Linked DNA regions of Rattus norvegicus. The protein of the gene in region 1 purifies or fractionates together with the protein of each later gene. This does not show direct contact. Links are inferred from orthologs where the notes say so. Each region holds a gene or a part of one and is shown in the gene's direction. Other genes may lie near its edges.

Evidence for each region.
Region 2: the proteins of Snrpa1 (region 1) and Cdc40 purify together in Homo sapiens (affinity purification with mass spectrometry; 3 studies listed by BioGRID and IntAct, counting the BioPlex papers as one, with this or other methods). This does not show direct contact. The link is inferred for Rattus norvegicus from reciprocal best matches to the Homo sapiens genes SNRPA1 and CDC40.
Region 3: the proteins of Snrpa1 (region 1) and Prpf8 fractionate together in Homo sapiens (co-fractionation; 3 studies listed by BioGRID, with this or other methods). This does not show direct contact. The link is inferred for Rattus norvegicus from reciprocal best matches to the Homo sapiens genes SNRPA1 and PRPF8.
Region 4: the proteins of Snrpa1 (region 1) and Sf3a2 purify together in Homo sapiens (affinity purification with mass spectrometry; 8 studies listed by BioGRID and IntAct, counting the BioPlex papers as one, with this or other methods). This does not show direct contact. The link is inferred for Rattus norvegicus from reciprocal best matches to the Homo sapiens genes SNRPA1 and SF3A2.
Region 5: the proteins of Snrpa1 (region 1) and Srrm2 fractionate together in Homo sapiens (co-fractionation; 3 studies listed by BioGRID, with this or other methods). This does not show direct contact. The link is inferred for Rattus norvegicus from reciprocal best matches to the Homo sapiens genes SNRPA1 and SRRM2.
Region 6: the proteins of Snrpa1 (region 1) and Sf3b5 purify together in Homo sapiens (affinity purification with mass spectrometry; 5 studies listed by BioGRID and IntAct, counting the BioPlex papers as one, with this or other methods). This does not show direct contact. The link is inferred for Rattus norvegicus from reciprocal best matches to the Homo sapiens genes SNRPA1 and SF3B5.
Region 7: the proteins of Snrpa1 (region 1) and U2af2 fractionate together in Homo sapiens (co-fractionation; 3 studies listed by BioGRID, with this or other methods). This does not show direct contact. The link is inferred for Rattus norvegicus from reciprocal best matches to the Homo sapiens genes SNRPA1 and U2AF2.

What each region holds. Positions count from the first base shown.
Region 1 is NC_086019.1:129,058,498-129,062,209, forward strand, and holds part of Snrpa1 (U2 small nuclear ribonucleoprotein A'), read left to right. Parts: intron 1-1,810; coding exon 1,811-1,857; intron 1,858-2,071; coding exon 2,072-2,174; intron 2,175-2,746; coding exon 2,747-2,826; intron 2,827-3,209; coding exon 3,210-3,285; intron 3,286-3,712. UniProt on the Homo sapiens protein: Involved in pre-mRNA splicing as component of the spliceosome. Associated with sn-RNP U2, where it contributes to the binding of stem loop IV of U2 snRNA.
Region 2 is NC_086038.1:45,905,077-45,909,585, reverse strand, and holds the start of Cdc40 (pre-mRNA-processing factor 17), read left to right. Parts: upstream 1-1,607; 5' UTR 1,608-1,623; coding exon 1,624-1,812; intron 1,813-4,509. UniProt on the Homo sapiens protein: Required for pre-mRNA splicing as component of the activated spliceosome. Plays an important role in embryonic brain development; this function does not require proline isomerization.
Region 3 is NC_086028.1:60,843,141-60,846,852, forward strand, and holds part of Prpf8 (pre-mRNA-processing-splicing factor 8), read left to right. Parts: intron 1-762; coding exon 763-1,010; intron 1,011-1,118; coding exon 1,119-1,298; intron 1,299-1,481; coding exon 1,482-1,617; intron 1,618-1,731; coding exon 1,732-1,901; intron 1,902-2,057; coding exon 2,058-2,187; intron 2,188-2,286; coding exon 2,287-2,433; intron 2,434-2,663; coding exon 2,664-2,824; intron 2,825-3,477; coding exon 3,478-3,669; intron 3,670-3,712. UniProt on the Homo sapiens protein: Plays a role in pre-mRNA splicing as core component of precatalytic, catalytic and postcatalytic spliceosomal complexes, both of the predominant U2-type spliceosome and the minor U12-type spliceosome.
Region 4 is NC_086025.1:9,563,320-9,567,546, reverse strand, and holds the start of Sf3a2 (splicing factor 3A subunit 2), read left to right. Parts: upstream 1-1,347; 5' UTR 1,348-1,386; intron 1,387-3,781; 5' UTR 3,782-3,817; coding exon 3,818-3,943; intron 3,944-4,052; coding exon 4,053-4,124; intron 4,125-4,227. Other genes in the region: Plekhj1 (pleckstrin homology domain-containing family J member 1), read right to left, coding at 403-469, 710-959, 1,073-1,251. UniProt on the Homo sapiens protein: Component of the 17S U2 SnRNP complex of the spliceosome, a large ribonucleoprotein complex that removes introns from transcribed pre-mRNAs.
Region 5 is NC_086028.1:13,318,561-13,323,002, forward strand, and holds the start of Srrm2 (serine/arginine repetitive matrix protein 2), read left to right. Parts: upstream 1-1,498; 5' UTR 1,499-1,800; exon of another isoform or gene 1,801-1,813; intron 1,814-3,421; 5' UTR 3,422-3,543; intron 3,544-4,442. UniProt on the Homo sapiens protein: Required for pre-mRNA splicing as component of the spliceosome. As a component of the minor spliceosome, involved in the splicing of U12-type introns in pre-mRNAs.
Region 6 is NC_086019.1:9,175,841-9,178,456, forward strand, and holds Sf3b5 (splicing factor 3B subunit 5), read left to right. Parts: upstream 1-1,348; 5' UTR 1,349-1,493; coding exon 1,494-1,754; 3' UTR 1,755-2,061; downstream 2,062-2,616. UniProt on the Homo sapiens protein: Component of the 17S U2 SnRNP complex of the spliceosome, a large ribonucleoprotein complex that removes introns from transcribed pre-mRNAs.
Region 7 is NC_086019.1:77,804,430-77,808,680, reverse strand, and holds the start of U2af2 (U2 small nuclear RNA auxiliary factor 2), read left to right. Parts: upstream 1-1,389; 5' UTR 1,390-1,466; coding exon 1,467-1,515; intron 1,516-4,251. UniProt on the Homo sapiens protein: Plays a role in pre-mRNA splicing and 3'-end processing. By recruiting PRPF19 and the PRP19C/Prp19 complex/NTC/Nineteen complex to the RNA polymerase II C-terminal domain (CTD), and thereby pre-mRNA, may couple transcription to splicing.

The sequences.
Region 1 (3,712 bases):
TGTGTGTGTGTGTGTGTGTGTGTGTGATTCGTTTTCATTCCTTTTGTATTTTTATGGTAGTAAGCCAGTTTTCAAGCTCTAGCATTCCCTCTGATTGTGTAAAGATGGCTTGTTTGCTTTCTGAAAATTCAGCTCTCTGTCATTGCTTTTTAAAATTATGAACCATTTCACAAAGGTACACATCCATTTTCAAGGCCACACTGACTTCTGTGTCCTTCCAGTTTTGGTGTGTATGCGGTAGAAGTGAGTATCCTGCTTTCATCTGTGCAGGGGTGAATTACTTAATTTAGGTCTATCCCAAGTTTTTATTTAGTGTAGGAATTTGTCCTGGAAGGAACACAGTTCGACCACCCAGGACTATATATATGTTTTAGTTAAGGTTTTACTGCTGTGAACAGACACTATGTTCAAGGCAACTCTCATAAGGACAACATTTAACTGGGGCTGGCTTACAGGTTCAGAGGTTCAGTCCATTATCATCAAGGCAGGAGCATGGCAGTGCCCAGGCAGGCCTGGTGCAGAGGTGCTAAGAACTTTGCATCTTCATCTGAAGGCTGCTAGCAGAATACTACTGTCTTCCAGGAAACTGGGGTGAGGGTCTTATAGCCCACACCCACAGTGACACACACACTCCAACAGGGCCACACCTTCTAATAGTGCCTCTTGGGCTGAGCATATACAAACCATCACAATATATATAGCAAAACTTTGTCCCAAATGGGAGAAGAGACCAGAAGCACGAGGATCCACATTTGCTATAGCCGCATCACACAATCTATCCAGATCTCCCTGTACTCACTATTGGAACATACAGATCCTTGGTAACTTCTCAGACTGAACATCTGTTGGTTATGATGGAATTCTCTGGTTTATTACATGCCTTCCTGCCTTCATAAACGCTTTGCCAGTCCTGTAGCTGGTATCCTTAACTATTCCTACTCTGAGATGTCCAGGAAATACCTTGTCTAGTTCAGTTGTAGCTTTTGAAGGTGGGTTTTTAGTGTTGCTATTTTTGTTTCATCAGTGGTTTCCAGGACAATTGGGAAAAGCTGAGAATATCCCTGGATGGCCTGAACTCACTACATAGAATAAATAGGCTGGCCTCAAACTCATTGACATTTGTCTGTCTCTGCCTCCCGAGGGCTGGGATAAAGACATGCGCCACCATGATTGGCATTCATAATTTTTTGAACTATACTATTCACCTTGTCTTTGAAGATGTTTGAAGAGATGGGGGCAGAGGTGATCTAGGATAACAGATATCGTGGCCACTTGGGATACACTAACAAGAAAAGACATTCTGCACCGGGTGTGGCGGTATATACACATAATTCCAGCATTTGGGAGGATCAGGATTGAAGACCATCCTAGGCTGCACAACAAGTTCAAGACCCCCCAGGCTATATGAGGTTCTGTCTCAAACATCAAAACCCCACATTAGACCAAGATCTTGGCTTGAGGTTCCTGTGAAAATAGCTTGCTCCAAGTAAGTCACTGGTATTAGCATTGGTTCCATTTTTGAATCACTGCTTAGTAGCCATGTTGAGATTGCTTTAGAAAATCAAATCTTTTTGTCTTCTGTTGAAGCAGATGTTGTTACTACCAAAGTTTAAGGAAGCTGGAGTATATTTATCAGTTTATTAGGTAGAAAATATTTAAGCAGTTGTGTTGTATTAATAATGGACTAGGTGCCAGAGCAATAAAAAATAAAATAGTGTAGATACTTGCTTCAGAGATACTTGCCATATCAAACTCTCAGGGTAGTGGTGTGCCTGTCAGCCCGGTCCTTACTATGACTCTTATTTTATAGGGTGATCTGGACCCATTGGCATCTCTCAAATCACTGACATATCTAAGGTATGGAAATTACTTGTGATGATATGACTATAGTCCTGAAATAACACCTCTAGCTTGGTAATAAAAAGCTCCCTCCTGGATGGCGTGTGTTACTCCTGACAGTGAAGTGGGAAGAGCGCACGCTGGCTCTTGGTTTATAGTCATTGCACCTCCAGCTGACTCCGCCTTACATCAGCTGTGGTGAGTGAGATTGGAACTGTCCCTTTTCTTACAGCATCCTAAGAAACCCTGTGACCAATAAGAAGCATTATCGACTCTATGTGATTTATAAGGTTCCACAAGTCAGAGTACTGGACTTTCAGAAAGTGAAACTAAAAGTGAGTATTGCTCACTGCTGTGAGGCATCACAGAGTTGGCCTTTGCTTTCATTGCCAGGTTTTTTAAAACTTGCTTATTAATAAGTAAATTTTGTTGTTACTTTGAAACTTAACCTGTGGGAAAGAAAACATTTAGTCAGGGTTGTTTGTTACTGTTTTTGTGGGGTGGTTTTGTTTTATTCTTAGCAGTTTGTGGTAGGGCTTTGTTGGTCATTCCAAAGTTGGCCAAACTTTGTAGTTGAACTACACAGTGAATTGTCTGCTTAGATGGATTTCCAATGGGGAGCATACTGTAATCCAGCTGTGAGCAGCCCTGCCTGTTAGAATGGCATTTCCATGTTGACGTGCTAATTCTTCTCTGGGACCACTCTTTGAAACTGGGGGGAGGGGAGGCTTTTTGAGAACTTTGCCCAAGAATGTTGGCCAATGTGTCGTCTAATTTAAAGTTGGCTTTTGGTGTTTTTACCAACCCAGAATACTTCAGAGAATTCTCTTCCATGTTTTCTGAGGAATGCATCTAAATGCATGTGGTATTCCTATTTCCATTAACTCTGTGTGTGGTGTTGCTGTAGGAGCGTCAGGAAGCAGAGAAAATGTTCAAGGGCAAACGGGGTGCACAGCTTGCAAAGGATATTGCCAGGAGAAGCAAAACGTAAGATACGGATATCCAACCTAACTCTCCTCCCCTTCAGAAACACTGTCTGACAGTGGCCTCCTGCAAAATTAATCCAAAGTGCGGTTAGCGTGGCGTTACCTTTGAACGATGGTGACTGACCATTCATGGTCTGCACATCACGGGAAATTTCTACCCGGTTAGCAGAGCATATATTTCGGTTTACGGTCTTAAATTTGATGTTAAACATCATGCTTTCTCTAGGAAGATGGATTGGGTGGTGTTTCTGAAGGAGAGAGTTCTTGTATCAGTTTGTTAACAAAGATAAGATACTACACTGGTTGAATTACTTTCAAAAGCTTTTGAAAGTAAGAGAAGCAGCTTGCACAGTCAGAATATAACAATTATATTCTCCTCCCCAGTTTTAATCCAGGTGCTGGTTTGCCAACTGACAAAAAGAAAGGTGGGCCATCTGCAGGGGATGTGGAAGCAATCAAGGTGAGGATGTATTCAGGTTGTGTGACTGGAGAGAGCCAGGTTGGGGCTGACAGTGGTGTCCTAGTACTGAGCCTTGTAGAGCCCATCTTCCCATAGTCCTAAGGACACTGGTATTCTAGTTCAGGAAAAAACTGCCTTAAAGCTACTCTTTGATCAGACTTTGATTTGAAGTAAATAGATAAAGTAGTTGAAGGCATCTGTATTCTTCTCCTTTTCCCAGGATCCATTTACTTCTTTGAGCAGTTAAGTACCTGGGTGTGCAGTCTTGGAGATTGCCTTAGTTTCTTTGCTTTCCAAGATTTGCTGGCTGACAATCCTGGTTGGAATGTAGGTAGAAAATCCTAAAGTCTCCAGTAACAGGATTCCAGACAGACTTAGCTTTTTAAGGGCATATGAAATGATCACTTCTCTTTTACAAGAGCCTGAA
Region 2 (4,509 bases), on another chromosome or scaffold:
GCATAGTTGAATAATTATCTGGGTGGCACAATGGGCGAGTCCTGCCGACATCAGAGCCCAGCGAGCGTCTCCCTAACTCTGCCCGAGGAACCTCCCCATTCCCAGGCATCAGAAGAGCCGGCACCCTCTTTGCCTTCTCTTCCAAACGGGAATATAAAGGGATGCCTGGACTCGCTTTACCGTTGTCGTGCACAGGGAGCCGCGGCGCAAAGACGCGCGGCCAGAGCTCGCTTTTCGCTGGCACGCCGGGCGAGCCGGAGGCTCGGCCACTAGCTGCATGCAGCCTTCGCCGGCGCCAAGGCACGAGGGCGGAGCGGCGGAATCGGAACCCCGAACTCGGCGCCGCCGGTGAAGCCGCAGCTGCTGCACCCGGTGCAGCCTCTGCCCAGTCCCCGCGCCCGAGATCCCGCGCCTCGTCCTCCACGCGCAGCCCGGGCTGCTGGGCGGCGGGCGCGGGGGAGCCCGGGATGGGGGCGGGGGCGGCGCGCCCATCCACCGGCGCCGCCGCTGCAGACCCGGGTTCATCCACACGCCCCTCTCGGCTCCGGCCGGTGGAGAACAGTTACGTCGTCAAGACCCCCGTAAGAAAAAAAAGGACAAAATCCTGAGAGACTCCTGCTCACCGCGAAACCGTGGGGGGCTCGCGCCGTACCCCTTCTACATGCTTCGGCGGCTGCCGCCCGTCCAGCTCCGCGCTGGGACGCCACCAAGAGCCCCTCGGGAGCGTCGGGCTGCGGGATGGAAGCCGCGCCGGGCACTGGCTGAGGCGCCGGGCCGCCCGGAATGCCGCCGGGGGAGCCCACTGCTCGCCCGAGACGCGGTGCGCGCGACGCGCGAGCGAACAACACCGCGAGCCGCCGCTGCCCTGCGCCGCCCCCTCCCCGCGCGACGCTCCACAACCGGGCGCGGGGATCCGCGCCTGCAGCAGGGGGAGCCTCGGGGCGCTCTCCGCCTGGCCTCACGACCTTTCCGCGGAGCTGCGCCAGACGGGTCCCAGGTCTCTGAACTTAGAATTCGCATTCTTCCTTCGAATTCTGCAGGGCGGACGGCGGCATGGTGGGAGAAGTGAGCATCCACCCACTTACCGGTCCGTGGGCTAGAGGACGGCGCTTCCCCCTGTCCTGAGGCTCTGTGGTATTGCCCAATCCGCACTTTGGGGGAGGGGGCCGGAGAGAACGGTGCCCGGCTCGGGAATGAGGGAAGATGACATCCAATTGAATGAAGCATCCTTTTGGGGGCGGGGTCGAAGGCTGAGCCCCTCTGTCCGACTCCGCCTCCTCGCTCCAAACTACATTTCCCAGGGTGCCGCGAGCACCTCGCCGCGCTGTACGCCGGGAGTGAAGTACGGCGAGGCTTCAAACCCAGCTCAGGACCGGGTCTTTAATCAGCGAGGTCCTGAAAGTTACAAATAGTTGTAATCCCTCATGCTTCTTTAGATAAATGTTCGCGAATCTCAAATCCTGACACAGTCATCGTAATAATCATTAAGGTTTTTACGAGGAGTTAGAAATGATTTGTTATCAAAGGAGGTAAATAGCTTGTTCCATGACAATCTGTCAGGACCTGGGAGACGCTGCTTCTTCCGCCCTGGCCTGGCCATAGCAGAGAGTATCTGTTGCAGTCATGTCGGCTGCGATTGCAGCTCTAGCTGCTTCCTATGGCTCGGGTTCGGGGTCCGAATCGGACTCGGACAGTGAGGGCAGTCGGTGCCCACTGCCGGCCGCGGACTCTCTCATGCACTTGACCAAATCGCCTTCAGCCAAGCCCTCTCTGACGGTGGCGGTGGACTCGGCTCCGGAGGTGGCAGTTAAGGTAAGTGTTTTGGACACTAATGAGTTTAGGAATTGCTTTCAGCTCGTCTCGGGTTAGATGCTGGTCTATCTCGGCGCTGAGAAGTAAGTAACTAGCGTTTACACCTCTTCCCACTTCCTCCTTGACGATTGGAAGTACGAAGCAGCCCTCGACTACCTCCGATCCTTCGTGTCTCTGTCGGATAAAAGTAGTCCAAGAGAGGAGGAAAGTTTGAATATGTAGACTAGAATGTAGCCTTGTTAAAGCAGATGTGATTTCAGAACATGGATAATATTGGATCAAGACTTTCAAACTAGAATTTGTGCCCTCACGAGAAGTGAACCATGGCTAGGTACTGTTATTTTTTTTTATTTTTTATTTTTTTGAGGAACTCATCAGGAATCCTGACTTCGCCACTTGCAAATTACACAACGTTATCAGTTCAAAGAAAGAGAGGCCGCTTAAGCCAAAGCCAAGAGTTTCCAAACTTAGGGGAAGACTTGGTGTGTCTTGAGTCCCTCGAGAGCATCAGTCTGTAGTAAGCCCTGTGCAAATGATCAGTTTAAAGAGTGTGAAGAGGAAAACTACAGAGATTTCGAACTAAGATCTCCCTGTGTCTTGTTTGTGTCTTAAGTCATTGACAGTTTTTGATGAGCCATTTACGGAATGTTATTTCTTTAATAAGGACATCTGGCATGAAAGAACTCTGGGAACTCTATCTTTAGAACAACAGTGTGTTCCTTAGACATCCCAACTTTCCGTGCTGTTCCTTGTTCCCGGCATTGTCACAGGGCCACCCCCACCCCTACCCCAGCTCAGGGTAGGCTAGTCTTGGCTTCTTGACTAATTGCTTAGTGGAAATGGTGTCCTAGGTCTTTTGCAGTCGTGAGACGGTTCTGACATCTGAGTTAAATCTCTGCATAGAATAGTTTGTAATAATTCCCTTTTCTCTATGCATTTTTTCCTAAGACATCCACTGAGCTATCCTCAGCCTTTGGGTTCCCTGTTCTTCCAGCCCTGTCAGCTTTAGGGTTCCTTTGTCTAGGCTCTTATTTCAAGTTTCCCTCCACATAGTCTCTTATATTTTTAACTGCTGGTATATACTTGCCGTGGCTCACAGGTGACCACGGTGAAGAGGCTGACCTAGGCAGGAATCAAGATCCCAGTATTCGTGTCTACCTCTAGCGCTTAGCCGCGTGGCCCCTTGGGATCCATCACTTGATGATGAGCTCTGAGCCTTCTTACTCATTCGCCAAGTGTGTTAAGCTACCAGTACTCAAAAATGCAAAGCAGTTTTAGCTGTAACCGATTACATGTCAGCTGTCCTAGTAAACCCTTGCCTTAAACTCCTTGCCAATTTAAACGTTAATATAAAAAAAAAAAAAATCGGGCTGGAGAGATGGCTCAGCGGTTAAGAGCACCGACTGCTCTTCCAGAGGTCCTGAGTTCAAATCCCAGCAACCACATGGTGGCTCACAACCACCTGTAAAGAGATCCAATGCCCTCTTCTGGTGTGTCTAAGACAGCTACAGTGTATTCATATATAATAAATAAATAAATCTTAAAAAAAAAAAATCTCATCCAGGATGGCTCTCTCGGGCCCCTTTTGTGTGGTGTGCTAAACGCTTAAGTTTCTTTCTCCCTAAGTGCATGTTTGTATTCCGCAGTTTGGTTGATCCACATCCTGCTCACTGGCCCAAGCCCAATCATTTTCCTTTTCCTCAACCCCTGAAGCTAGTTAGTTGTTCAGCTGCTACGTCTCCTCCATCAGTTTTTTTTTATTTTTTTGGTTGGTTCGTTGGTTTTGGTTTTTTTTTCCCCCAACTCAGTTTCGTCCTTTCTCCTTTCCTTAGCACAGCTCCCATTAGCATCCTTCATTCCCCTAGGAATTATGCTTGACCTTTTCAGCCTTTGAGTGACAGCTACTTTCCCCACCATGACCGAGTGCTGCTGTTTAATCAAATGTCTCTTTCTTCCATTGCCACTGTTTCTTTCAGACTCTCATTTCTTTTAAAACAGTAATAACTTTCTGTGTGCTCCTTTCCAGCCTCGTCCTACTTCTTTCCTACACGGTGCATCGAGACTGTTCATTTCTGAATTCAGAACTCATCATTCACATCCCCGTCCCAAAGCATCGTGTTGTCTGTTAGATACGCATTCCATTCCTTATACAGTTTGTGAAGCCTGCAGTCCTGCTATGCCGAAATCTGTATAAAGCCCCACAAGTCTAATAATTTCCTCCCCTCCCTCACATATCCAAAGCTGTGCTTCCCAGCCTCACGGTACTTGTTCCTTCTATATCTATTTCTCTTCATCATAGCCCAGGGGCGTCACTTAACCACATCTCTAAGTTCGTTCCTGGGACCCAGAGACTGTTCTATCTCCAATGCCTTGTACACAAGAGAAAAACTAAAAGAAAAGGCCTTGACCCACATATAGACATTGAGAATCAGATTTGGAGTTGAGCAGGTACTGATCAGAAGGAAGCTGTCTTTTGAGCTTGTTCACTCAGTAAAGAAAATGAGGTGGAATCAACCTATAAGATGCCAGAGGTTCGTTCAGAGCAGGGCTAGATCCCCAGGTAGGTGGGCTCCATCATAGGAGATGAGCAGTGCACACCAGAGAAGAAAAGGTCCTGTGGAGTAAAGGTAATGCAAATGGTTAGAAAATTATCAAGGGAGGAATTGTGAAGCATGCAGATACATGTGTCTGTTTGAC
Region 3 (3,712 bases), on another chromosome or scaffold:
CTCGATGAGGTCCAGGAAAACAGCTATGTACCCCTTAGGTAGTCTGACTGACAGCTCTGTTTGCTTTGTAAGGTCAAAGGCTGCCTTCCTGATTAGTTCTTTGTCTTCCTGCAGTCAGCAGTGCTGTTTCCTTCTTTGATCTGACAGCCCCTACCCCAAGTTTATGTTATTCTGAAAGGAATATTGTATTTAAAATAACTAACAGGGTCTTACCATGTATCACTGGCTAGCCTGAAATTCATAGAGATTAAAGCCTCATACTGCCATGCCCAGCACTAAAAAGTACTTTGTATTACATTTGTTTGGGTGGGTATAGACCACAGAGTGCATGTGGAGGTTAGAGAAGAAACTTGAAGAAGTGGGCTCTTTCCTTCACTATGTGGGTTCTGGGGATTAATCTCGAGTCTTCAGGTTTGGTGACAGTCTTACCCACTGAGCCATCAGAGTGACTCAGTCATCCCTCTCTCATTTGTTTCTATCCTAGTGGGTGTGAAGTAGTATCTTATATTTTTTTTATTTTCTGTAATTACTAATGATTTTAAACTAATCCTTACATTAGGGATATATGGATTTGTTTGTTTGTTTGTTTGTTTGTTTGTTTTCCCGGAGCTGAGGATCAAACCCAGGGCCTTGCACTTGCTAGGCAAGCGCTCTACCACTAAGCTAAATCCCCAACCCCTACATTAGGGATGTAAGTAACTAACTAGTAACTGCAAGACCTGCATTGCTCATGTGAAATTTACTCTTTTCCACTAACTTTAGATTGTGAATAAGTGGAATACAGCTCTCATTGGCCTTATGACATACTTTCGAGAGGCTGTGGTGAATACACAGGAACTCCTAGACTTACTGGTGAAGTGTGAAAACAAGATCCAGACACGTATCAAGATTGGATTGAACTCCAAGATGCCAAGTCGGTTCCCCCCTGTTGTATTCTACACCCCTAAGGAGCTGGGTGGGCTTGGCATGCTCTCGATGGGCCATGTCCTTATCCCCCAGTCTGACCTCAGGTATAGTGTGACTGACCTTCATTATTTCATTATTTCAACTCTGAGGGAAATGAGTGTTTGATTACATTTGACTTTAATTTTATTTCCTGTCTCAATTTTTCTGAACAGGTGGTCCAAGCAAACAGATGTGGGCATCACACACTTTCGTTCAGGAATGAGTCATGAAGAAGACCAACTGATTCCCAACTTGTACCGCTACATACAGCCATGGGAGAGTGAATTCATTGACTCCCAGCGGGTCTGGGCTGAGTATGCACTCAAGCGACAGGAGGCTATTGCTCAGAACAGGTGGGCATGCAGAGGGTGTGCCAGTCAGAGCTGGGGGTTGGCTCACAACACTTTGAATCTTATGTGGAGGTCATGGGCAGAGTATGTTTTTAGGAGTTAAGACTGATTCTGTTTATCCTTGGCCAAAGAATATTGAATGCTTGCTCTTTGTGAGAAAAGATGTTGACTCTTTTTTTCTGGCAGACGCTTGACTTTAGAAGATTTAGAAGACTCGTGGGATCGGGGCATTCCCCGGATCAATACCCTCTTCCAGAAAGATCGGCACACATTGGCTTATGATAAAGGCTGGCGTGTCCGAACTGACTTTAAGCAGTACCAGGTGTGTAGAGTGGAGAGTGGAGCAAGTTTTCTCCCCATCAGGATAGCTTTGGCATCCCTGTCACTGAGAGTGGTGGCCACCCAGAGGCTTCACTGTACTTGCGTTACTCTCTAGGTTTTGAAGCAGAACCCCTTTTGGTGGACACATCAACGGCATGATGGCAAGCTTTGGAACCTCAACAACTACCGCACAGACATGATCCAGGCACTGGGCGGTGTGGAGGGCATTCTGGAACACACTCTCTTCAAGGGCACTTACTTCCCAACCTGGGAAGGTCTGTTCTGGTAAGGACTCTGCCTCCTTACAGGGATCTGTCACAACTCTCTGAGCTCAGCACTTCTGTGCTGTGGTAGCCTGCTGCTTCTTACTTAGCCCAGTGAGGGTTAGGCACCTCTGGGAGGGGGATGGGCAGCATCTCATTTAATTCCTCTGTTCATCAGGGAGAAAGCCAGCGGGTTTGAGGAATCCATGAAGTGGAAGAAGCTGACCAATGCTCAGCGATCAGGATTAAACCAGATTCCTAATCGTAGATTTACTCTCTGGTGGTCCCCAACAATCAATCGAGCCAATGTGAGTATGATTCTTCCACAAGGGAGATGGGGAAAGGGGTTTCTTACGCCTTTATCTTTGTCCTAAGAGCTGGTCTCTGGTCTCTCTCTTTCCTGGCAGGTATACGTAGGCTTCCAGGTGCAGCTGGACCTGACAGGAATCTTTATGCATGGCAAGATCCCCACGCTGAAGATCTCTCTCATCCAGATCTTCCGAGCTCACTTGTGGCAAAAGATTCATGAGAGCATCGTGATGGACTTGTGTCAGGTGAGCTGCCGCTGAGGGGTGACATCACACAGTCACATCCGTCTGTGTGGCCTTGGCCTGGAGATCCTTAGGCTGGCTACCTAACCTGCTTCCCAAGGGCTTAGATTATGCACTGCCACGCATAGCCAGCTTGGGAAAATTTATCCTGGACAGGCAAGGATTAGACTCTGTTGCCTCATCTAAATTCTCTCAGCTCTCAGTGTATGTGGATTTCTCATCTTTACTTCTAGGTCTTCGACCAGGAATTAGATGCCCTGGAAATTGAGACAGTACAAAAGGAGACAATCCATCCCCGAAAATCCTACAAGATGAACTCTTCCTGTGCAGATATACTGCTCTTTGCTTCCTATAAGTGGAATGTCTCCCGGCCCTCGCTGCTGGCAGACTCTAAGTAAGTAACTTTTTTTTTTTTTTTTTTTTTTCGGAGCTGGGGACCGAACCCAGGGCCTTGCGCTTCCTAGGCAAGCGCTCTACCACTGAGCTAAATCCCCAACTCCGATAAGCATGTAACTTAAAAGAGTTAGCCCTGCCTCTTTTGTTTTGTTATTCTGGCTTTAACCTTATAATACTATTGCCTCAGCCCCTCCAAATGCTCGCTGTACAAAAGTGGGCACCATTCCCAGCTTTTGGTTGACATTCTTTTAAACTTGGAGGCAGTGCTAGCCCTTGTAACCCATCAGCAGTCAGACCTACCCGTTTCCTGGGGGGGGGGGGGGGGTCTTGCTGATTTGTTTGTTTGTTTGTTTGTGGTTTGTTTTGTTGTTTTTTTCTGTTTGAGACACAGTTTCTCCATGTAGCCTGCCCGTCCTGGAACTTGGCCTGTAGACCAGGCTGGCCTTGAATTCAGAGATCCATCCACCTGACTCTGCCTTACAAGTGCTGGGGTTAAAGCCAAGCACCATTACTGAACGGCTAGGGGTCTTGCTGATCTACAATGAGGAGGGATGATTTTGAGATTTAGGTGCAGTTGGGAGTTCTCATGAGTCTGAGATGGTGGTTATGCTGTGGTTTCCTGAAAACCTGAACTTTTTCCCCTACCCTTAGGGATGTGATGGACAGCACCACCACACAGAAGTATTGGATTGACATCCAGTTACGCTGGGGGGACTATGATTCCCATGATATTGAGCGCTATGCCCGGGCCAAGTTCCTGGATTACACCACAGACAACATGAGTATCTACCCTTCACCCACAGGTGTGCTCATTGCCATTGATCTGGCCTATAATCTACACAGGTGAGTTAGGGCTCAGAAGCATCGGTTTGCCATTAGCCCTGCA
Region 4 (4,227 bases), on another chromosome or scaffold:
TAGGGGTACAGATGGAGAACCCCACTGGATGACAGAGGTAGACACGATGGACAAATCTCTACAAGGTACGCAGCAGAAAGACCTCTCCAGAGGTGAAGGCTGAGACAGGTGTCCTTCAAGGCCTCAAAGCCCTGCCCGCACACTCACTCCCACGGCAGAGACTGCTTCAGTTATACACACCAAGTTCACAGACTGCACCTCTCTCGGCCGTAAACCGGCAGAGGATCGGGGAAGAAACTAAGATGAGAACCTGACCCAGTGGTCACTCTGAGTGACAGCTGGGACAGTCATGGGCCACCAGCGGACGCGAGATCCAGGACAAATGGAGATTCCTAAGGGAGTAAAAAGGATCGCGTGCGCGGAGCAGAGTCCGGGGTGGAAAGTGGGGAACAGAACACTTACTGATGGAGAAGCCTCCCGGCTCTTCCTGGGCCACTCTGCAGCGCTCCAGCAACAGGGCTCCGAGGGGCTGCGCGAGACACGGCCATGAGCACCGGCCTCTGGGCCGCGCGGGTCCCCCGCGCCCCCCACACCCCTACCTCGGCCTCGTCCGGGCGGAAGTAAAAGAGGAAGTTGACCACCAGCTTCACCAGCCGCCTCTTGGCCACTGCAGGCAGAGGGCGGTGTCAGCGCGCAACTGCTGTCATCCGCCCACCGGGGAACCCCGCGGCCCGCCCAAGTGTCCCAGCCCCGGCCCGGACCAGCTCACCGCTGCCCTTCTTGGGGCCCCGCATGCCCAGCTCGGCCGCCATCTCTGCCGGCTGCCGGGACAGCGCTTGCAACTCTTTCTCGTTGTACCGCATCTCGCCGCCCGGATCCGCGCGAACCAAAACGCGCCCTGCCTCTCGGCCGCCGTCCTGCCCGAAGCCGCTACTAGCGCCACAAAAGTCTCAGGAAGCGACCTCGTAAGTCCCAACGGTGCTACTGCGCCTGCGCGTTGTTGGGCGTGTTGCGTGACGCTAGTTGGTGGGTCAGCACAGTAGAACAAGGAGTCGGACGGGAAGGAAATCGCCCGTCCTTAAATAACCGTCAGACACACTGAACGTGGGGTGTAAATTTAGACTCATAGCACCTCACGATACGCGAAGCTCGTTCCCGGGCCTGTGAACCCTGAGGTTTAAGTCCTGTCGCGATAGTCAGCGCCAACAGAGTTAGGGCGGAGCAAGAATTCGTAGACAATGCAGTGCGCACGCGTACTCCGTGTCCCGGCGCTCTTTTTTTTTTCTCCCGCCTCCCGTAGGGGGAGTCCATTCGCTGGGCATGCGCACACATGAAACTCCGCCTTCCTTGCCCCCGGAAGTGATTGCTCAAGCGGTCGTGCGCATGCGCACAACAAAATCGCGGCATTCGGGGAGGTTAAGCCCAGTTACCGAGGCCTTGGTGTTGGTAAGGAACTACGCGGTTTGTCGGTGGCGGCTGCCCCGTCTGTGGGTCTTGAAAGTAGGAGCGAGAGCGTGGGGCCTGGCGGGGCAGCGGCCGCCCTTTCCCCTTAGGCGTGGCGCACCCTCGCCCTAAGAGCGCGGTCTCGCGAGGTCCTTTGAGTCGTGGCGTGATCGCGGACTTTTGTGGCGGTTCCGTGGCCTCTAGGGTGGTTCGGGTTCTTGGAATGTCATTTAACCTGCTTGTTTGCCTCAGTTTCCCTCGCCGTTAGTCAGGGCCATGGCGACTACTGCTCCTGTCCACTGTAGTAGGTCTGTTGCTCGGATTAAAAGATAACGGTATATGCATTTAAAAGTGATTTGCGGGGTTGGGGATTTAGCTCAGTGGTAGAGCGCTTGCCTAGCAAGCGCAAGGCCCTGAGTTCGGTCCCCAGCTCCGAAAAATAGAAAAAAGAAAAAAAAAGTGATTTGCCTTTAGACCAGGCAGGCCTTCTCCCAGACCGTGACCTTAACATATACTACTCTTCTGTTTCTATTGATCGTTCATCGGTAATCTTAGAGTAGTCCGTGAGGTCGCACGGCTCCCAACCATTCATCCTGGTCTCTTGTCCCAGGCTTCACTTGTGAGTCCATCCAGTCATCGGCACAATTTTACTTTATTTCAGACAGCGTCTCACGGCATAACTGAGGCTGACCTGGAACCCTGTGTGGACTAGGCCGATTTCGAGCTCACATACACTCCCATACCTCTGCCTCCCGCATACTGAGATTTACAGCGTGTGCCACTACACTTGACTGTTTTGTTTTAAGGAAGGTTTATTTTGACTGATAGTATGAAGGTGCAGTCCACTATGGTGGTCGTGTTACAGCCATAGTCAGGAAGCAGATAAAAGCTGGTATTGGAATCCCTTTCCCGTGTTTTTAAAGATTTTTTTTCCAAATGTGTGTCCATGTGGAGCTTCATGTGTGAGTATGATAACGTCAAGTCCAGGAGAGACTGTCAGGTTCCCTGGAGCTGGAGTTTCTGGTGGTTGTGATCTGCCACTAAGTCATCTTGCCAGCCTACCCAGCACCCTTTTGTCTTTTATTTGAGACAGATCTCACTGCACAGCCCAGTTTGGTCTCAAATTATACCCATCATCTTTCTACCTTGGCCTCTAAGGGAGCTGGAAGGAAATGTATACACTGCCATGCCCCATGTTTTCTGTTTCCTGAGGTTGGGAACTGTTGGTGGGCTGAGGCGGTAGTTCATTGGTGAGCGTTTGCAAAACTTTGTGCTCCATCCACTGGGCCAAGCAGTATGCTCACCCAGGCCAGTTTTATTCTGCTTTCCTTCCAAAGCTGATGAACTACATTTCTGCAGTGGATATCCATGCACTCAACCTCAAGCATGCCCCCCCAGGGGACCCAGTGCATGCTGGACAAGTGTTCTCCTTGAGTGGCACCGTCAAGTCTGTGGATGGACACCCAGCCTCCCTGGGGAGGCCAGCCACAGAGTCCTATGTTCTCAAGAGTTGTCTTTGCCTGAGCCTGGAGTGGTTTTCCATCCTGCTGCTGCTGCTTGTGGGTGCCCCTAACTCTGAGAAGCCAATTGATTCTCCCACCGTTTGGCTGTACTCTCGTGTCTGGCCAGCTTCATCTCTGGGAGTGTGTCTGTTGGTAGCTCTGGATGATGTAGACGATGCCCTTCTCAGTCTTTGGCTGAGTACAAAACATCTAATAGGCTGCTCCTGTCCCGCCACTTCAGTGTACACCTCTCAAGCCGTCCCTCTCAGCACCTAGAGCATCCTGTATCCTTTGCCTTCTGGCCTCTTCCTCCTTGACAGCCAGTGCTGTCAGTGGCCTGTCAGCCTTGAGCACACTCTAGTGACATTGTAGTAACTGGGTACCTGCCCTCAAGGTTCTTGGTCACATTTGTAGAGCCCCTTGTGCTATGGGAGGCACCAGTGATGATGACAAGAGCTGTCTCTACTTGTCTCCTGGTCGCTGGCCCTGGGTTTACTGTAGGTTTACCAGTAGACTGAGTAGTCTTAAGTGTTCTGCCTCAGGTAACACTGTCTGGAGGCTTTGGCTGAGCCTCCAAGGTGAGACCCTTGGTATCGAGCATTCCTTGTGTCAGGCAGAGGAGGGTGTGTCCTCTAATGCCAGCAGAGGTAGGCAGAGGCCAGCCTAATGTGTGAGGAGAGTTCTAAGATAGCCATGACTACGTAGAGACTCCTCCCTCAATAATAACAACAACAATAATAGTAATCATATGTTACATCAGGGAGAGGCGGCTCAATGGTAGTCACAGCACTTGGGAGGATCAGGAGGTCAGAGAAGGGATGGCTTGCATGCTGGGCCATCCCGCGGTCCTAGCATCATCAGCAGGGTTCTAAGCCTTAGTCTTCCTTGCTCCCCAGGTTTCTCCTGTCCCCTAAAGTACCCAGGCCTGCATCATGGACTTTCAGCACCGACCTGGAGGCAAAACTGGGAGTGGGGGCGTGGCCTCCTCCTCAGAGAGCAACCGGGATCGAAGAGAGCGCCTGCGGCAACTGGCCCTGGAAACCATCGACATCAATAAGGTGGGGGAGGGAGAGTCTCCAGGCCTGCAGAGCCCTCACCTTGCCCACCTTGGTCCTTGGGTCCCGGGGCCAGGCTGTGCGGTCTCACGGTACATTTCTTCACTCCCAGGACCCGTATTTCATGAAGAACCACCTGGGATCCTATGAGTGCAAACTCTGCTTGACTCTGCATAACAATGAGGTACCTGCCCACCAGACTTCCACCATTCTGCACTGGCCTGGTGACACTGGTCGGCCTTGGACCTGTCACCTGGAGCCAACCACTCCCTTAGTATTGCTCTGGT
Region 5 (4,442 bases), on another chromosome or scaffold:
AAATGTTAAAAAAAAGATTTATTTATTTATTATATGTAAGTACACTGTAGCTGTCTTCAGACACACCAGAAGAGGGCATCAGATCTCATTACAGATGGTTGTGAGCCACCATGTGGTTGCTGGGAATTGAACTCAGTACTTCTGGAAGAGCAGTCAGTGCTTTTAACCACTGAGCCATCTCTCTATGCCTATTTGTGTTTTTTTTTTAATGTTAACTTGTACAAAGAGAGGTAAATAAGTGTAAAAGAAATAAATAAAAGCAGTGAATTAAAAACTCACATTTTTGTTTGAATTGAATAGCACAAGACTGTATTCCCAGTCATTCAGGAGGCTGGGACAAGAGAATTACAAGTTCATGGTCAAACAGAAGACATCTAGTGATACACTATGTCAAAATAAAAGGTTAAAAGAAAAGGCTAGACATGATGGTGTGAATGAAAATAAGTATCAGATTCCTCCTAGATATGGTTGAGGAGAATGTTTTTATTGTAGATATGAGGGGGAGAATGGCTAGAGGCATCTGGAAAGATCCAGACTGAATCTGGCCATGAGGGGAGAGACAGAGGGACAGAGACCAGGAGAGGGAGAAGAACCAAGAAGCCAAAAGAATGGAAACCAAGAGAGTTCCTGGGCTGGGCTATATAGGAATGAGAAGATGGGGAACATAAGGGGATCTCAGGGGCTGGAGGCTTTAGGATACAGAGTGGCGAGGAATGCTCAGAGAAGCCAGGACTCTAACAGGTGCTAGTTTTGCTGAGGGGCTTGACGACCCTATTAGCTTTGATAGATTAGTAGCCACCTCAGCTCTTTGTTTCTCCTGTAATCCCAGCGTTTAGCAGGTTAAGAGGATGGTAAAGCCAGCTTCCACTTACTTAGCAAGTTGGAGGCCAGCCTGGGCTGCCTGAAATTCTGTGTCCAAAACCAAAATCAACCAAAAAAAAAAAAAAAAAAAAAAAAAAACCCAACACATCACAGTGGTAATGTATTAACACCCTTAGCTTCATGAGACCCTGTCTAAAAACGAAATCCCAAAAGTAAAAGTAATAAAGAAGTAATATTAACGACATGTTCGTGTGGAAAAATCAAGGCATCAGTATTTTATCCCACCTCCAACCCCACCCCATTTTTACTTCTATTTCCTCCTCTGCCTCATGGCCTGTCACAGTGTCACTCTAGGATGGTGGCTCACTCCTGTAATCCTAGCACTTGGGAGGCAAAGACTGGAGGAGCGTGAGGCCAGTCTGGATTTCTAGCAAGCACCAGGGTAGCCTGAACAGTTTCAAAAAAATAAAACAAAAAACAAAAAAACCAAGCGACTGTGAGGGACTCCGGAGCCCGCATGCTCCGGCTCTCATGGCAGCTGGAGCAGTTGTGCCTTTGTTCTGAGCGCCCGGGTCCGCTGTTTGAGAGTCTAGGGCAACCCTGCTCCAGCCGGTTCCCCAGTCCCTGAGTCCTCCTTAGGGCGACAAGGAGGCGGCTGCGGGGGTCCTGGGCTTCCGCTAAGCGTTGGAGGAGGAGGAGGAGGAGCAGCGGCAGCAGCGGTGGCTCGCCACACTGTTCTCAGCTGGAATCCATTAGGCCTGGAGGATTTTCGAGAAGAGGAGGCTTGGATATCCTGGAGATAGACCCTGGGAGGCAGCGTCTCCCTTTACTAATCCCGGGAGTGCAAAGTACCTCTGGGTTGTCGTTCTGTCAGTCAGCTACCTGGAAGCTACCTGGAACAGGAATCCGGCATTTTCACATCCTGTTGTTGCAATGCCACCAGTGTGAGTCCACTGAGGAAGAGCAGGACAAAACGAGGTACTTGGAATGGGCTTATTTCTGGTGGGCAGAAAGGGATGACAGAGTTAGTCACCAGGGCTCAAGAGAGTGTCAGAGTGGCACTGTGTGTCCTTCACTTGTAGTGCTGAGACCGCCCCCCAATCCCTGCCCTCCACCCCACCCCTCAGGATGCACAGGACCCATAGACCAGTGCTCTGAAAAACAGCCTGCTCCCAGTCGAGGGCCCAGCCCGACCTGCACTAATCTGGTGACATCCTCTAGGAGGAGCAAGAACAAAGCCAGAGGTTATCAGTTCCTGCAGTGCAGAACACTGTTCTCTGAGCACAATGGCCTTTGTCGTGTTTTTGTCGATATGTATATGTGTGTGTGTGTGTGTGTGTGTGTGTGTGTGTGTGTGTGTGTGTGTATGTGTGTGCGCGCATGTGCAGATGCCCACAGAGGCCAGAGGAGCTGGATCCCTCCTGGGCTAATATTACAGGAAGTTGTTACTGGGAACCAAATTCTGGTCCTCTGAAAGAACAGTGTGTGCATGCCTCCCTCCCGCCCCTAGACGTGTGGTTTTTGAGACTGGGTCTCATAATGTAACATTCACTGGCTTAGAACTGTGCAGACCAGGCTGACCTTAAACTCATAGAGATCCACCTGCCTCTGCCTCCCAAGTGCTGGGACTAAAGGCCTGCGCCACCACTGCCTGGCACTGTTGTCATCTTGATCAGAGGGGCTATGACAGTTCCCCAGAAACCCCCAAGGTAAGATCTGAGCCTTTCCTTCCTGTCAGCTGTTTTTGATTATTGTGTTATTGTGTGCGTGTGTCAGCCTTTTGAAGACAGGGTTTCACTCTGCGCCCCCCCCCCCCCCCCCCCCGGCTGTTCTAGAACTCACTCTGCAGACCAGGCTGGCCTCGAAGATCTGCCTGCCTCTGCCTCCCGAGTGCAGGGATTAAAGGTGTGCACCACTACCACCCTGTTGATTTTGTTGTTGTTACTTTTTTTAAAAAAAAATTATTATTTTTTATTTATATGAATACACTGTAGCTGTCTTTAGACACACTAGAAGAGGCCATTGGATCCCATTACAGATGGTTGTGAGCCACCATGTGGTTGCTGGGATTTGAACTCAGGACCTCTGGAAGAGCAGTCAGTGCTCTTAACCACTGAGCCATCTCTCCAGCCCTGTTGTTACTGTTTGAGACTGGGTTTCTCTATGTACCCCTGACTGTACTGGAACTTGCTCTGTAGACCAGGCTGGCCTCCAACTCACAGAGATCTGCCTGCCTCTGTGTCTCGATAGCTGGGATTAAGGGATTGCACTAACATCACCAGGGATGTGCCAGCTGTTTTATTACTCTGCCCCAGCTGCGTGTGGTCTCCGTGTCTCAGGAGGTAGCATGTGTATAGGTGGAAGGTTAACTGACGTGGGGAACCTCATCTAAGCTGCTGGAAAGTCATCATCAAGGTTGGGGTGAGATATTTGTGTAGTGAAGCTGTTTCAGGGTCACCCATACTCCCATAAGTAGCCTCTCTTTCATACTCTGTAGATAAGCTCAACAAACTAACTGGTTCAAATCACCCGATTTTGGTACTTTAGCCTGTCATTGGTGCCTGTTCCGGGCAAGTTAACTTTGTTTTCGTCTCCCCAGGAAAGTTCCTGAAGCACTTCCTGTGTCTGACCATTGTCCCTCCAACACGCTGTAGTGTGACTTGGGTCTGTAATCAAGCGAACGGAAGGGAGGGCAGAAGCCACCAGGCAGACTGTAGACAGGTACGTGCTACTATGTCTTCCTCCGTCTCTTGTTTTGTTCTCAGGCATTACTGAGACCTGGTATGTGTGTGCGCGTGCACACACGTGAGCACCTGGGGAGACGCCGGAGGTCAACCTTGGGTATCATTCCTTCGGTGCCACCCGCTTTGTATGTATGTGTGTTTTAAATTTATGTGTATTTATTTTGTGTGGATAAGCATGTGGAGGTCAGAGGACAGTTTGTGGGACTCAGTCCTTCCCTTCCTATGAGGGTCCCTGAAACAGAACTCAGGCCACCATGTTGGTTAGCAGGTGTCTAACCCACTGAGCCATATTGCCTGCCCTCCTTGTCTTCTGAGACAGGTCTCCCAGTGGGATCTGAAGCTTGCTGATTAGGCTTGGCTGGCTGGTTGTTAAGTCCTAGGGGCCCACAGTCTTGACCTTCCAACTGTTGAAGCTACAAGCGGGCACCATCATGTCTGGCTTTTGTTTTTACCTGGATTTTGAAGCTTGAATTTGGTCTTCCTTCTTGCACAGCAAGCACTTTACTGGCTGAGCTGTTTCCCCAGCCTCCCCTTTTCCTTTTAGTAAAGGCATTAGTCACGGATTTAAGGTCTGACCTAAATTCATGACGTCTTCTTAAGACCCCTTAATTATATACGTTTATATACATATATATTTTTTTTTCTTAATTATATCTGCAAAACCTGTTATCTGGGGCCAGACTACATGTCTGGGTGGACATACGTTTTGAGCAAGACTGCTCAAACTGCTTTACTGCATGACGCAACTTTTCAAATGAAAACTGAAAGCACATTTGGGAGGCTGTGGGGAGGCTGAAAGGAGAGCAGTGACTCGGGGCCAGGGTGGGTGGTGGCAGCTGAGAACCACAGAGAGACAGGATGAGGGATAGCTGCCAG
Region 6 (2,616 bases), about 120 Mb from region 1:
TCATTTAAGTGTTGGGTGCTGCTTGTTTGGTTGGTTGGTTTTATTTTTCGGGACAGAGTTTCTCCCTGTAGGCCTGGCTCTCCTGGAACTCAGAGAGCCACCTGCCTCTGCCTCTAAAATGCTGGGATTAAAGATGTGTGCTGCCGGGGTTGGGGGATATAGCTCAGTGGGAGAGCGGCAAGGCCCTGGGTTCGGTCCCCAGCTCCGAAAAAAAGAAAAAAAAAAAAAAGATGTGTGCTGCCACCACCTGGCAAGATGCTTTATGACAAAGTTTAGACAGAAGAATAAATATTAGATGGAGTTGCACAAGTCTCTAGTCTCAGGAGTCAGGAGGATTGCTGTGAGCTCAGGGACAAAACTTCGCCTCCCCCCTCTTACATCAAATAAACAAAAGTACCCCCAAACTCCTGTATTTTCAATTTGTCTGTCATCATCCATCCTCTCTGGCTATGATTGCTCTTACCCCATTCTTAAGATTTTTTTTTTTTTTTGAGAATACAATCTTCATCACGCTATTCGCATATCCTCAGGGAGTACCATGAAAGAAGTACAATTATCTTTTTCTGAGTAGTTTGTACCATGCGAGAAAGTGCACAACCCCCAACATAAGGCAGAAATCAGCAGAAAAACACAAGATGAAGAGAAAGAGGTTTCTTGTCTCGAGCCATATCCGACTTCAAGGAATAGCCTATGAATGACCTTAAAGAGGGGTTGTTTGCCCAAGGCCACAGAGCCTAGGTGGGTTGAGAAACTGGCGCCTGGAACTCCTTAGGGAAGCCATTAATGAGACTACCAGTGCTGACACTGATCAACAAGCAGCTAGCGAGAGTCAAAAAACAAAACAAAACAAAACAAAAAAAAAAAAAAAAACAACAAAAAAAAACTTTTCCCGGTACCCAAATCCTAAGAGACAAAACTTGGGCCAAGGCGGAACCATGCCACCATGTTAACTTCTAGGTACAAGAGTTAGTTTTCCTCGTTGCTCATACTGTTGTGTTGCGGCAGTATGAGATTTCAATGACAGTGGGATTATGAAACCCACGTAGGTTTCTCCTTCTTTGTAGCCCGGAGCCGTGGGATGAAGCTTCGAGGTTTTTGGACATTGTCCTATATAAGCCAGGCAAAACCCCTCAAAAACAATCTAAGACAAACTCTTTGGACTACATGTCCCAGAATGCAACGCGAGGGTTAGAACGTGATCACCCAAGAGCCACTAAGAGGACCATCATGCAACGCTCTTCGAAGTAGGCGGGCTCCGTGAGGAGACGGCCCACTGTTTCCTAGGCAACCCCAATCCCGCAACAGACTTTATTTCCCCTTCCGCCTAGGAAAAGAAAGTACTCCTGCGACTGCGTGTCGTCTTTCTCCTGCGCCAGCACGAATAGAGCTTTTGTGCGGCGGCAGCGGCGGCGGCGTCTCTCTGATTTGAACGCCGAACAGCGGTAGCTTCTCATCTGTGGCCTGACCTCGAAGCCTAAGAACAGAGCGGCGAGATGACGGACCGGTACACCATCCACAGCCAGCTCGAGCATCTGCAGTCCAAGTACATCGGCACGGGCCACGCCGACACCACCAAGTGGGAATGGCTTGTGAACCAGCATCGGGATTCCTACTGCTCCTACATGGGTCACTTCGACCTCCTCAACTACTTCGCCATTGCTGAGAATGAGAGCAAAGCGCGCGTGCGTTTCAACCTGATGGAGAAAATGCTGCAGCCCAGCGGGCCGCCGGCGGACAAGCCGGAGGAGAACTGAGGCGAGCGCTTCCCAGCCTTCCCCATCTGCCATCTGTGGACCGATCCTCCTGACTCCTGCTTCTCGACCATTCTCCGTTGGGTGTATCGCCTGACCTGCTTACCTGTGGACGGTTCCGAACAAGTCATCGAGAGACTGTCGGGTCTCCTGGGAGCTGTGCGGAAGGAGTGATCCCAGAATCGGCAAGCGAGGGAGAAGACTGCCTGGGAGTGATGACGCATTCCGAGTCAGCTTTTCGATAGTTGATGTCGTTCTCGCCTTTTTTTTTTTTAAATATATATCATACATAAAGTTAGGATTTGTTATATCTTTTGGTTTGAATTGCTGTGTTCTTTGGGAGGTATTTGGAGAGAGTTCTGTGGATCAAGATTTCGTGAGAATATGACTAGAAAACGGGGGCGGAAGCACAGGGCAAGCGTTTATTGACAAGTACTTTAGTTGTCACACACACTTTTATGATCTTCCCTCACCTCGATTTTCTTCATGCCTACAGTGTGTCTGGTACCAAGGAAACCTTCAAGCATGGAGTTTTTCCACATTCCTTCCCACCCATTTCTAGTCTTTGCTGTCATTAACCTCACTTCCCTTTATGCTGCAGCCCCCTCCCCCCTTTCTTGGTAATTAGTTTGTGTGTCTTCAGAAATGACAAACTGGCAAACAATGGTGTCCTGTCCCGACCCTGCTCCACCTCTCCCCATTCAGTTTTCACCAGAGCATTTTCCAAAGGTTTGAGGACATACATTATGCCGGCCAGTTTGGAAGCAGATATGCTAAACTAGTCAAGAGTTAGAAGATGGAGGGGGATGGGGCAGCTTGAGGAGTTTACAATTTCAAATCCCACGCTTATGCTACATGACCGAGA
Region 7 (4,251 bases), about 51 Mb from region 1:
GGTGGCCGTCGCCACGGAGACCGGGACGGGAGCGCTCAGGCAGAGGCCTCTAGAGAGGTTGGGGAGGACAGGGTGTAATTAGCCCCAGGAGGCAGAGGTGGGAAGCGGAGCAGCAGCCTCTTTCTGGAGAAACTTTGAGGTAAGCCGACTTTTAAAATGCACCGGCTGGGGAATTGATTCAATGACCTCTAGTTGAGCCGGCCCCATGGAGGTACCAGGGGGCGCTGTGTAGACTCGTTTCCGTCCGCCCGGGGTTAGATTTCTCGTAGGTGGCACGTTCTGCGGTTGCGCAGCAGGAGCAGGGGCGGACGATTTAACGCGATTGCCATGGCAACCGGGAGAGGGCAGGCTGGTTAAACCGTCTTGAAGTTAGTGTCTACGGGGCTAAGGTTGGGGGTGGGGGTAGAGGTATGTTGGAGGAGATCGTGCGCACGCGCAATGTGGATTTAGAATGGCGGATCCTCCCGAGAGCGGAGAAAAACGTGCCTCTGACCGCTACGCAGGCGCAGAAACCCCTCTCAAATCACTGTGCGCAGGAGTCCCAAGCTGCGCTAACAACCTCCGCCGCGTCCTCGAACACCCTTTGTTCAACTGGCTGCTATTGTCCCGTACACCTTCTCTGGCCTTCCGCGAGGTCAGTTTTTTCAGTTTTCTAGAGAGCTAAGTGCCAAAGCTGAGACTCCGCCCCGTCCACTATAGCCATCTGGCCCACCTCTCATCTGTCCTCCCTCCCTTTTCGGTTCTTTAAGCCGAAAGGAGCCGAAACAACAGCGGAAAAAGCCGAATTTCCCCCCCTCCGTGCTGGAGGCCTTCCTGAAGCAGTGGCGGAAGGGAACGATATTCTCCGGAAGGGGCGGAGTGACCCTGTCGAACCTCCGGAAAGAGCCGAAGATTACAATCGGGTTTAATCTCTAGAGGGGCGGTGAGCGAGCGCTGGAAACCTTCGGAAGAGCCGAAGGCCTGGACGGTTAGGATTGTTGGAAGTGACTGACCGCTTGAACAGGGTCGGCGAGGGGTGGGACTAATTTCCAGAGGCGGCCAGAGACTGAGACGGTTTGAGTTGTAGGAAAACCCGTATCTTTAGAGGAGGCTGGTGTAGGGGAACGCGAGGACCCACGGAATCCTCCGAACGTTGAAACGCTAGTCTCCGAAAAGTTACCGCAACTTGGGCAGCCGGCAAAAATCCTCGCTTCGGGTGATTTCGAGGGCGACCGTCGTCTGCAGACTTCTCTCTCCGAGAATAGCCGACAGGCTTCGGATCTGAGCTCGGGGAAGTTCGAGGGGGGGTGGGGCGGGCGGGACGAGGGGGTGGAGTCGGGACGGGGCGGGGCTTGGGGCTTGCTTAGGTAGGCGACGGAGTGCCGGCGGGGGCCGGAAGTAGCCGAAGCCAGCGGCGGAAGTAGCCGGAGCGGGCGGGCGGCAAGGCGAGGCGAGAGCTGCACAGGGCCCTACGCGGCCGCCTAAGCATGTCGGACTTCGACGAGTTCGAGCGGCAGCTCAACGAGAATAAACAAGGTGAGGGCGCTGGGGTTGTGGGGTGGCTTCTTGCTTCGCCCTGTGCGCCCCCCCTGCCATTTCTCTTGTTCCCTTCCCTAGGGCCGCACGATTTACCCCCCCCCCCGTGCCGCGCGCGCCTAGCTCACGTGACCTCCCCTTGGCGCTGAGGGAAGGGGTGGCGGGCGAGGCTCACGGCGCGTGCGCGCCGCAATATCCCGCGCCCACGTGGTCTCGGTGGAGGCGGCGCGTTTTGTCAAGTAGGCGCATTGAGGGCGCGCCGCATTCCTCTTTGTGCATCTTTTTTGTTGTTGTTTTAAATTTTTGTCTTTTACTTGAGAAAGACATGAATTTAGGTCTCAATTCTTTTTCTTTTGCTGCCTTCGCACTTCCGCTTCCGGTCGGGCGTACTTTTCCTTTCTCCACGCCCCCTTTGTTTCCAAAATGGCGGTGGTGAAGCACACTCTCTCCCCCCCCCTCCTTCACGTGGACTGGCGCTGCAATCACTAGGTGCTTGTAGGTTTCGAGCCTGTTCATACTTTTCGATTTCTCCAGAACTCTCCTGTCTCGATGTTTCTGTCTCAGCCTCCGGTTTTGTGGCGTCTTAGATAAAAATGTGTCCTACACCTGTTTGCCCGCCAAAGAGGGAAGTCTCTGCGTTCTTTGTGCCCCTGCTGAGCATAAATCATATATGCCTTGGAGTTTGGGCGGCCGACATCTGTTTTTCATATCCCTAACACTCCCTAAACCTTTTGGTTTTAGGCAAAGCCCAGGTCCTGTATCATTCCAAACTCGGACACCTAAATCCAATCATACTGTAGGGATAATAAAATAATAATAAAATAGTCAAGCAAATGGGAAGTAGGGAGCTGGCCCATTAGTAGGTTAGTAGAGGCAGGTGCTCCTAAAGTAAGATCCTGTACTATGAATTTGGATCAGAAAGGCAGTCAGGCTATGTTGGTGCTGATGGATTTAGGAATCCCGAGGAAAGAGTTGAGTTATATATAAGATATAAGACATCTCTACAACCTCCTTTTTTGAGACTGAAGAGCTCAAATTTCTTAAGGATTGAGACTTAAGCTGCCTTGTGTTGGGGCATTCGGTGAGACCTTCAGAATTCTTCGAAATGAAGCTGGAATTGAGAGAGTAGTTGAAACAGTACATGTGGAAAAAGTAATTATTCTGAGTGCCCTTGTTGAGCTTTTCTGCTTTGAGTAGTGTACTGTTTAAAAGTATAGGCCTTAGAAATTGAATATACCTGAGTTCAAATATCTTTATGTATGGTAATTTGTTAGGTGTATGCTGATCATCACTGCTCTGTTTACTGGGTTTTTGAAATTAGTAATGGTGGTACATACTGACTATAGTTGTGATTAAACTCAGGCCTTACCATGTGTCAGGGCAAGGAAATTTGTTAAACTCTTAAAATCTCCCTCCCTCCCTCCCTCCCTCCCTCCCTCCCTTCCTTCCTTCCTTCCTTCCTTCCTTCCTTCCTTCCTTCCACAAGGTTTCTCTGTATAGCCCCAGCTGTCCTTGAGTCCTTGAACTTGTCCTACTCAACAGAGGTTCTCCTGCCTCTGCCTTCTGCATGAGACTTGAGCCACCATCATGCTCTAAACAGTCTTAAGTGAATCATTTGTAACAGCCTTCTGAGGACATACTAGCTTTCTGTTTATTGAGCAGTAAACTAGGGCTTATAAAGTTTTTGTTTTTTCTCTTAAGAAAAAAAGCTCCAGGCATTAGTCAGTGGAAAGCTGGAGCTGAGTTTAAATGGAGCAGAGTGTATATAGATTGTGTGGCTTGGATTATGCTAAATACCTAACTAGACTGGTGTCGAGTTGTAGAAGGGTGGGGAAAGTGGATGCCAAATGTTATTCCTATAAGACCTTGGTAATGTAGATGTGACCTTCATTCAAAGAAAGAAAAACTGGATGTTAAAGCTAAGTTCCTGCTTTTGTGTAGAGCTCTGACTGCAAAGCCAGTTCCTTGTGGTTCAGGTGGTTCAAGTGGAGCTGCTTTAGCTGTTTTTTGAGGCTGTGATACTAGTTCTAGAGTGTCCCTTCTGATGTTGGCAACGGGGCCTGAGACCCAGCCTATAAGGGTCGATTATTGGAGCTATGTGCATAAGACAGCTAGAGTATAGCATTTTGAGCAAATGAAGTTTCCTTTTAACGGTCCAGCATCAGTATGTGGGAGAAGGTTCTTGCCTTGCTGGAAGAAAGCTTGACCATCTTGTCACCTTGCCTGCCTGTGGGTATTTGTCTCTGACCCAGACTCACTGTATCTCTTAGCTTTAGCCCCCTTCTTAGTTCCCTAAGTTTACAGGAAGTTTGTGTCCTAGACACCTGGTGTTGTCATGTCATTTTTGGAGTTTGTTGTTTTTGCTTTTGAGACTTAGCGGGAGGGAAGACATTTGGGATTTGTAAGTAGCCCCTCTTCCTGGTGTGGAGCCAGAGCTGTGCTTGTCTCAATATTCCACAGTTCTTGCCCCTGTCTAGCTCTTGATTATTTTATTCTTTACATGTACATGCACATTCTTTGCTGTTAGTAGTTGAACCCAGACTCTGTAATGAGTGTTCTGCTTGGTCTTCGTTTGAGACTACAGCCTGGTACCTAACTTAGTGGCATTACAATTTCAGTCTTGGCTTCACTGTTGCCCAGCTGTTGGGCTTTGAGCAAGTCATGATCTCCCTGTGCCTCAGTTTCCTTATCTGCTTTATGAGCTTCTGACAGATTTTCCAAAGCACTAGTGACAAT